2 linked regions of the Cricetulus griseus genome follow. The protein of the gene in region 2 interacts with the protein of the main gene of each other region in a pairwise test. Links are inferred from orthologs where the notes say so. Each region holds a gene or a part of one and is shown on either strand. Other genes may lie near its edges.

The links.
Region 1: the proteins of Gsk3b (region 2) and Bcl2l12 interact in a two-hybrid assay, tested with the Homo sapiens proteins (2 studies listed by BioGRID and IntAct). The link is inferred for Cricetulus griseus from reciprocal best matches to the Homo sapiens genes GSK3B and BCL2L12.

Annotation. Positions count from the first base shown.
Region 1 is NC_048599.1:153,882,723-153,887,538, forward strand, and holds the start of Bcl2l12 (bcl-2-like protein 12), read right to left. Parts: upstream 3,299-4,816; intron 2,628-3,298; exon of another isoform or gene 2,377-2,627; intron 2,373-2,376; 5' UTR 2,185-2,372; intron 1,692-2,184; 5' UTR 1,684-1,691; coding exon 1,577-1,683; intron 1,489-1,576; exon of another isoform or gene 1,477-1,488; coding exon of another isoform or gene 1,415-1,476; coding exon 1,272-1,414; intron 1-1,271. Other genes in the region: Irf3 (interferon regulatory factor 3), read left to right, coding at 3,334-3,591, 4,750-4,816.
Region 2 is NC_048597.1:51,927,081-51,931,363, forward strand, and holds part of Gsk3b (glycogen synthase kinase-3 beta), read right to left. Parts: intron 2,742-4,283; coding exon 2,631-2,741; intron 1-2,630. UniProt on the Homo sapiens protein: Constitutively active protein kinase that acts as a negative regulator in the hormonal control of glucose homeostasis, Wnt signaling and regulation of transcription factors and microtubules, by phosphorylating and inactivating glycogen synthase (GYS1 or GYS2), EIF2B, CTNNB1/beta-catenin, APC, AXIN1, DPYSL2/CRMP2, JUN, NFATC1/NFATC, MAPT/TAU and MACF1.

The DNA.
Region 1 (4,816 bases), on a different chromosome or scaffold from region 2:
GTGCTGCATAATCCGAGACAACTCATAATTAATAAGTCTTCATGTCATAATTTGGGAGCTGGTTGGTGGCCCAAGAAGAAAGTCTCTTACAGGGGACAGCCAGAGCTGTTTCACAGAGAAACCCTGTCTCAAAAAACACAACAAAAAATTATCCTATTTAATGAGTATGGGTGTTTTGCCTGCATGTATGTTTGTGTGCCAAGTGCATGCCTGATGCCCTTGAAGGCCACTGAGGGGACTGGGGACTCTTTCCTCTACCTACCTGCCTCATGTGCTATTGGGAACTGAATACAGGGCTTTTTGCTTGCTAAGCAGGCACTCTACTGACTCATTAGCTTTCTGTAATCCAGGCTAGCCTTAAGCCCACAGCAATCCTCCTGCCTCAGTCTCCCAGTGCTGATGATAGCAATGCACCCCACACCCAGGGCTATTGATCATCATTAATCAAATATTAATACCCCTTCTTACAGTCTTTCTCTGCTACTTTAAAACAAGGAGCAAGGAGGAGAAATAATTTGCTCAGTCAGATTACCAACTAGCCAATGAGCTGTGGTTAACAACCATGGCTCCTGTCTTATGTGCTAGGGTACTGGGGCTACACAGAAGTCTTCCCTAAGAGCCAGGGAAGCACTATGTAAGGAAAGATGTAATTAGCTAAGACGGGTACCAGAGCACAACCCTCAACCCTCCAACCCCCACCCCTCACCCCACTGGCCAACCACAGAACTGACAGGTAGAATTCTAAGCAGAAATCTGGGCAGTGGTGGCTCTTTAATCCCAGCATTCGGAGGCAAAGTCACGTGATCCCTGTGAGTTTTCAGCCAGCCTGGTCTACTGAATGAGTTCCAGGACAGCCAAACATACCCAGAGAAACCCTGGGTTTCTTTGTCTCAAGAACAAAGAAACAAAAACAAAAATGAAATCTAAGCTGAGGCTCTAATGATGCATGCCTGTGATTCCAGTATAAGGTAGGCTGATGCAGGAGGGCTCCAGCAAGTGTGACTATGCCTAGAAAGAAGTCTAACAGAGGAGGGGAATAGTTATGGCTTGTGCTAAAACTGAGCAGTGTTCTGGGGGTGGGGGAGGGAGAGGGAGAGGGAAAGTACATGTGAAAATATTAATAATTTAATAAAAAAAAAAACAAGCCAAAATAAAAAAAAAAAAAAAAAAAAAACTGAGCAGTGTTCACCTTGCAACAGGTACTGTCTGGATTTTCCTAACCAAAGCTCCTACCCATTAAAGCTTCACAGGTGATCTGGATAATCTCTTACCAGGCTGGGAGCCATAGCAGGGGCGTAGGGGAAGGAAGCAGGGCCGAGAGGACTCCAGGGGAGGGGCTCCTCTCCCAAGGGGACAAGGAAGACATCTTCGGAGGCGGCTCAGGAAATCTGTTGGCTCCTCTTGGGCAGGGTTCCTGGGGACAAGAACCTCGGAGTGACCCCATGGAAGATCACTCTTCAAACTCGAGATAGGCATATGGGGTCAGATCTGAAAGGAGACAGGCTGGGACCAGTACCAAGACTCAGGAAGACCTTCCAGTCAAAAGCTGGCCCTGGGGGAATGGACACTCACTCACCTGGGTGGAGTTGGAACAGGGGACCCAGCAGCTTCACCGCGCCTAAGGAAGGCAGCCAAAACCCTAAGTGTGTCCTCTCGGAGCCCCAGATCTTCAGAGCCGGCCATGGAGGCACCTGAGGGAGAAAACAGAGCATGAACCCAAGTGTGGTGACAAGCTCAAACTTCTGAGTCCCTGAATGAACAGGGTGCCAGAACTCGGGAGACAGAAGGCTGGTCAGTGAGACAGAGTTGATTCCGTGGAGGAAAAGGGGGCTGGAGAAAGAAGGGTTTAAGACAGGAGGTAGCTGAGTGCTTAAACTCCTACATCCAGGAGAGGGAATGGGGTTTGGAACTCTCAGCCCTGAATGCTGAAAGATGCACTCATCCAGGTATCTAAGTCCTTAGGGGATAGAGAACTACCAATCCCAGTACGCTCGGCGGTACACATTGGCCCGATTTCCCCGCTTTTTCGCCGAGCAGCCTGCTGGGAGATGTAGTTCCAACTACCTTCGGCTAGCACCAGAGCCTCTGGGTGCTCGGACTCAGAGAGGCAGGACTGACTGTGGCCGCTCGTGCAACTGGTTCCCTTCCCTTTCTGTTCTAGTCCCTCCCTGGCACCCCGCTCACCTGGTTTGGGGCTCTGCTCTAGTCGCGCCGGCGCCGGCTCCCACGGTTTCACTCAATTTCATCAAACTTTTCTTGGTAAATTCAACTTTCCCGCGCCTGCGCACTGGGCCGACCTGCTAACCGCCCCAACGTTGAAGGGGCGTGGCGTTGTGTTGCAGTCTCATTTGCATATGGCGTTCCCAGCATGCCTATGGGCGGAAGTCCAAAAAAGGGCATTGAGAGAGTTGGGTGGCGCCCAGAGGTGCTCTCTCGGCTTTTGCGTTTCTTACCCAAATTATGAGAAAATTGTTTTCATCCCAAAATATCGTTAGAAAAGACAGTCCCAGCGCTCGGAGGCTTAGCTGACAGGAGGGGAAGGGTGCGTGGCTGCGAGACTCAGAACCACTGGGAGCCCTGAAGCCAGTGTTGGCCCCGGCGCCCCACGAGCGCGCGATTCCTCCCCGGTAGGTAACGCGGAAGAATCGGGAGGGTGGCGGCCTCAGGAGCTCGGCTACCGAGAACCAAAGGGCCGCGCGATGAAGACGCAGGCCTGCAGTCTCTCAGCACTCGGGCTGAAGGTAGCGATACTGCTGGAAATTCAAGGCCAGTCTGGACCTCAGGATGAGCTGCAGACTAGCCTGGGCTCCTGGATAAGTTTGAGGCTACCTTTGTTTACAGTGGAATCCGAGGCCAGCTTGGGCCACACAGAGAGTCCCAGGCCAGTTTGGGTTGCAGTTGAAGACCAGCCTATGCTACGTACTAAGACCCTGTCTCAAAGCATCCATAAAAAGAATATAGAAAAATCAAAATAGAAGAAGCCTGGAAACAGGCGACTGCACTTGAGAGAATACTCTGGAAATAAGCCAGGGTTTTCGGTGCAAGGGAACTGTGGGTGAGGGAGCAGTCAGTCTTGGAAAGACTAGGGAAAGAGGGCTCCACCCTAGAAGCGGGGTACCTGCTTTGGCTAACAGAGAAGGAACTGATGGGTAGGTACAGAGTTTCTACCGAAGACGGCCCCACTGGCTATGAAAGGGCGGAAGGGCTTTTCCGTTTGTGCCCCCACGAAAGCATGAGTGAAAGATTTGCGCCGTGACGGGTCAAGGAGGTTTCAGTGCGTTTGCCCCTTGACACGCAGGCTTTAGGAACTGCCCTGTGTGCGCAGGCCCGAGCATGGGAACCCCGAAACCGCGGATCTTGCCCTGGCTGGTGTCGCAGCTGGACCTGGGGCAGCTGAAAGGCGTGGCCTGGCTGGATGAGAGCCGCACTCGGTTCCGGATCCCCTGGAAGCATGGCCTGCGGCAGGACGCCCAGATGGCTGACTTTGGCATCTTCCAGGTGCTGGGGGCCAAAGACTTTGAAAGACTTTGGAAGACTTTGGAGAGGCGTTCCTGGGCGTGGCTAGGCAGGGGCGGGGTCTTGCTAATGAAGGTGGGTAGGACTGGGAGGGATAGACAGGAACGGATCAGCAGATTACAAGACTATAACCCGGAAATTAAGTTTGGATTGCTTAAGGACCGGCTATAGCAGTGTTTCTCAACTTGAGGGTCTCAGATCAGATTTTTTTTTTTTTTTTTTTTGGGTTTTCGAGACAGGGTTTCTCTGTGGCTTTGGAGGCTGTCCTGGAACTAGCTCTTGTAGACCAGGCTGGTCTCGAACTCACAGAGATCCGCCTGCCTCTGCCTCCCGAGTGTTGGGATTAAAGGCGTGCACCACCAACACCCGGCCAGATCAGATATTTATATTACGATTCATAACAGTAGCAAACTACAGTTATTAAGTAGTAACGACAATCATTTTATGGTTGGGGTCACTACAGCAGGAACTGTATTAAAAGGCTGCAGTATTAAGAAGGTTGATAATTACAGCTGCAGAGGATGGGAGATCTTTGGGGGTGGGCTCTTGATTTTAGAACCCTTAAATCTTAAGGTCTGAGAATGCCTTATGGATGGAGTCATTGACATAGCATGGACTAGAGGTAGTAATAGAATGAGAGACTGGAGCCGGGCGTTGGTGATACACACCTTTAATCCCAGCACTCGGGAGGCAGGCAGGCAGATCTCTGTGAGTTTGAAGCCAGCCTGGTCTACAAGAGCTAGTTCCAAGACAGCCTCCAAAGCAATACAGAAAAACCCTGTCTCAAACCGCCCCCCAACAAAAAAAAAAAAAAAGGCTTGAAGGCTGAGAAGGTGGCACAGTTTGTAATCCTAGCACTCTGGAGGCATCAGCAGGAGTTCAGCTGTGTAAGAAACCCTGTTTCAAAACCAAAAAGGATTTTGTTTTTCAAGACAGGGTTTCTCTGTGGCTTTGGAGGCTGTCCTGGAATTAGCTCTTGTAGACCAGGCTGGTCTCCAACTCACAGAGATCTGCCTGCCTCTGCCTCCCAAATGCTGAGGATTAAAGGCATGCGCCACCACTGCCAGGTTAAAAAGGATTTCTTTTGGTGCAGGAAATAGTAGATAAAGATGAGGATGGAAGGTGTAGGGGCCCAGTCTCAAACCACAAGATGGAACATGGTGGGAGGTGTCAGGACCTAAAGGCAGAGTCTAAGTCGTTTCCCCTCCTATTCTGGAATCACTGGTTTGTCAGGCCTGGGCCGAAGCCAGTGGTGCCTACACCCCAGGAAAGGATAAGCCAGACCTGTCAACCTGGAAGA
Region 2 (4,283 bases):
TTCTAGTATCTCAGGCTGTAAAAGCATAGTGTCATTTTTAGTATCATTTATCTTTCTGAAAGGTTAGTCTCCAAAATCATATAATAGAAGCCAGGAAAACTCACAGGTAAAGTAAGAAATCTAATCAATTGCCTTTTCAGACATCAGTAACTCTGCTAATAAGTAGTATTAATAACCTTCAGAATAATGTAGACTTGCAATGCCACCTAAAAACAGATGCCAGGGGGGTCTCTGAGTCCAAGGATGGCTTGGCCTATAGAGCAAATTTCAGAGCTCACACACGATATATCCTCTGAGAGTGACCCACTATCCCATGTTCTCTCACCTTGCTTTCCCTACCTCGATGCACCCTATCCTCCAGAACTATTAGGCCAAAATAAACCTTTCCTTCATTGAGTTGCCTTTGTCTGGAATTTTGTCAGAGCAACCAGAGAAATACCCTTAAAACTTTAAGAAAACATACCGATGTAACACCTTCAATATTCTATTTATTCCAAGGCCAGTGTTGTGACTCTTTCCCTTCGTTACTTCCTTTCTTCCTTATTTATTTATTTACTTATTATTTGTTTACTTATTTCTTAGTTATTGATTTATTCATTTTTAATCTCTTCCAGGACATACTACTCCTGTTGTATACAAGCTGGTCTTGATCCTGTCATTCTTTTGTCTTACTCCAAATTGCTAAGATTATAGATATGTACCACTACACTCAACCAGATTCATTTTAAATTTTTTCTACATGCTCACTTTCTGAGCTCTACTCCCTGATTAACACCATGGAAACAATTGCTGCAATGATTCCAATCAAAGACACAGTGTCTGACTAAGGAAAAAAAAAAAAAATGAACAGCCAGACAATGGTGGTGTACATCCTTAATCCCAGCACTCAGGAGGCAGAGGCAGGCGGATCTCTGTGAGTTTGAGGCCAGCCTGGTCTACAGGGTGAGTTCCAGGACAGCCTTCAAAGCTACACAGAGAAACCCTGTCTCAAAAAACAAAAACAAAACAACAAAAAGCCAATAAAAAGATTAAAGGTCAGCTGAGGTACTGACAAAAGACCCTGTCTTTTCTGGATATATTGTTGGGGACTGGCATTATTGAAGTTCACAGGAAAGCCACTTTTCTTTAGAAGCATAATGAAACTGCTAAGGCTGGACATGTTAACAGTACATGTTTAATGTGAATCTGAAATCAAGCTATGCAAGTTAGAGCCTTCTTCAAAATGAAGCATGACAAAAATGTATACCTAAGATCTTCAATGTCAACATTTTCTAATTAAATCAGAAGTAAAGCATTTAGATACCTATTAATCTTTTTAAAGGCTTTGTAACTATTATTGTATCATTGTTCATTTACAGAATCAAGTTTTAAGTTCCAAAGCTTACTCTGGTAGCTGAATTCATTATCTCCAACCAAATGATCTATAACCAAGAGAGTTCATGGGCATCAAAGGAAAGATTTAGCTGTTTCAGGGTATTAATATTTAGATTAACAAAACTCGGTGAAAGACATTTTCTTACAAAAGATGTCCTTAGCAGTTTAAGATTCATTTAAAGATATCTCATCACTGTTCTTTTCATTTGTCTTGGAAAAGTAAAGTTTAAGAATGAAATGAGACTGCATCTTTTTTTGGGGGGGGGGCCTTTGGTCTACTTTATAAAAATGTACTTTTATGAAGAAAGTTGAAAGGCTTCCTGCACTACAATGAGCAAAAGAACAACAGCACCAAAAACAACCAACACTGTGCTGGGTACCATCCTAAGGCTTGTGTTTAAAACTGACAAGTTTAAATTTGTACAATGAATGTAATAAGTGTCTACAAATGGTAATAAAGCATTAAATAAGTATATTAATAACTGTAAATTTACCTAGTAGGTTCCTGCTTTGGTGTGTGGCACAATGAAGACATCTAAAACTAAAATGATGTTATGGGGCTGGGAGATGTCTCACTGGGTTAGAGTATTTGCTGCACACACACGAAAACCTCAGTTTGGATTTCTGGCACCTGTGTAAAAAGGTGGGACTAGTTGCACTTGGCTGTTACCCCAGCACTGCATGGGGAGGGAGGTTCAGACCAGCCCAAGTCATAAGCTTATGTAAGAGGCCTTCTCAAGGCAAAGGTGGGAGGCTATGGGGAAGGGAGCACATCCTCCTCCTCTGGTCTTCACTTGTGCCTCACCCTGCACCCCACACACAAGGTGTTATGGCTATCACAATTAAAACCCCTAACCATGAAAGTTTAACTGCATCTTATCAGAATATCCATTTCAATTCACTTATCTCATGTGCATGTGTGTGCCAACATGATGTGTCTGAGGTGGGGCACATAAAACCTGGCATGCATGTGGAGGTTTAGAGGGCTCTATAGAGTTGGTTCTCTTCTACCTGTATGTACGTCCCATAGAACTCAAATGACCAGGCTTGCACAGCAAGCACCTTTATCCACTGCAGAGTAATGAAGGCTTTAAAGGGAACTCTATGTTTCAAAATCAAGTCAGAACTAACAAAATCTAGAGTTTGCTGCTTCTCTGAGGAGTAAAAGCAGTGTTGACAAGTTGAAACAAACCCAATACTCTGCGTGGTTCATATTAAATGTTTGGTAAACTGGAAGTCGTTCCATTGTTACACACCTTGACATAGATCACAGGGAGTGTCTGTTTGGCTCGACTATAGTGTCTGGCAACTCTATACACTGTTTCCGGAACATAGTCCAGCACCAGATTAAGGTAGACCTCATCTTTCTGAAAGAGAATGAAAGAACAACAACAAAATTAGAGACTGATCTTACATATTCAAATTAGAGTAAATTCTCCATACACCCACTTATTTTTAAAGAAAAATTTCATATGGTTCATTTTAATTATACAATTACTTTTGAACATAACCAGAACTGTACAAATGCATCTACCACACTTTATAATCCCGGTATTATTAAGATTCCTATCATGTGCTTATGCATGTGTTATAAGTTTATTACTTGTCATATCTTTTATTATTTTATAGGCTGAAAAACCAATGTCTCCCCTTAAATCAGGAAAGACAACCTGACGACAATGCGGAGTTGCTACTAGCCTGACTCTGCTGCAGATTGCTATGTATACATCACAATGTGCCTCAGCTTCAGCTTCTTCCACTCCTACAAAGGGCTGAGCTACGTATTCTTTGAAATGCTTTAACATCTCCACAATGTTCCTGTTTGCTGGACAGTCTAAAATTTGTAGAACAATCACTAGTACACAAAACAAAACTTATGGCAAGGAGATCATACTCACTGGCTTATCAAAGGCCTAGGTGTCAGTTTCTCTTTGTAGCATCATAAAGACAGGAATTCAGTGCCAGTCAAGAGAAACAAGAGGACAAAGCACTAGCCACACCCTGTTCTCTGAACAGCGCCAGTTAGGTAAACTGAGGCAGAAAATATAGCTGAGGATTACTATTGGCTACTGAGTGGTAAAACTGCAGACCAATGATCAATGATACTAATTCTAACAAACCCAAATAAATGACTTGTGTTGGGGCTCATGGAGTATCTCCTACAGGAGGAAAGTGGGTGCACGTATAAAGTTACCAAGCGTAACTCATTCCTCTACACCCCTCTCTTTGAATAAGGTGATATGTAATTTCTGCAATAACAATTCTAGTATTGCTGAAAAGTTCAAATCTAGTCTCCTGAGACTCAAAGCAAACTATTAGCTATGAGCTCTGGAAAAATCAAAACTAAGTTACATACTTTCAATACAACAGCGGGACAGGCACAGGTTAACATCCCTGTTGCAAGGGGAAAGAATAGTACAAAACCAAATTCAAACAAGGAAAGGATTAAAATCTTAGACCTAGGGTATTCAACCCCCAACCCCCACCACACCTTTCCACAAAGTTATTTTCAGGCTGTTAAAGGCCTTACCACAACTGACAACCTGAAAATACAGCTGATATCGGCCAAATCCTCTTAAGTTGTGAGTTAAAATAATTTACATTGTTTTCCACAGGTTATTTTTTGTCACACCAGTGTTTTGAAAGCTAACGCCATGTATGATTTCATTTATTAGAATTTGAAGAAACAAATGTCGACAATGGTTAAGTAACAAATGTAAAGGTGTAGCCAGACTCTGAATACAGCAAGGAATAGTGAGTAAGTGGTAAATCAGTCTAAGACATAACTAAACACATTCACAAACAATTCCCAAATGCGCTAACCAAATACAAGTACAGGAGATACGCTTGAAGTGTCTCATTTTACCCAGCCATCTAAAACTGACACCGCCAGGAAGAATGGCTGAAAA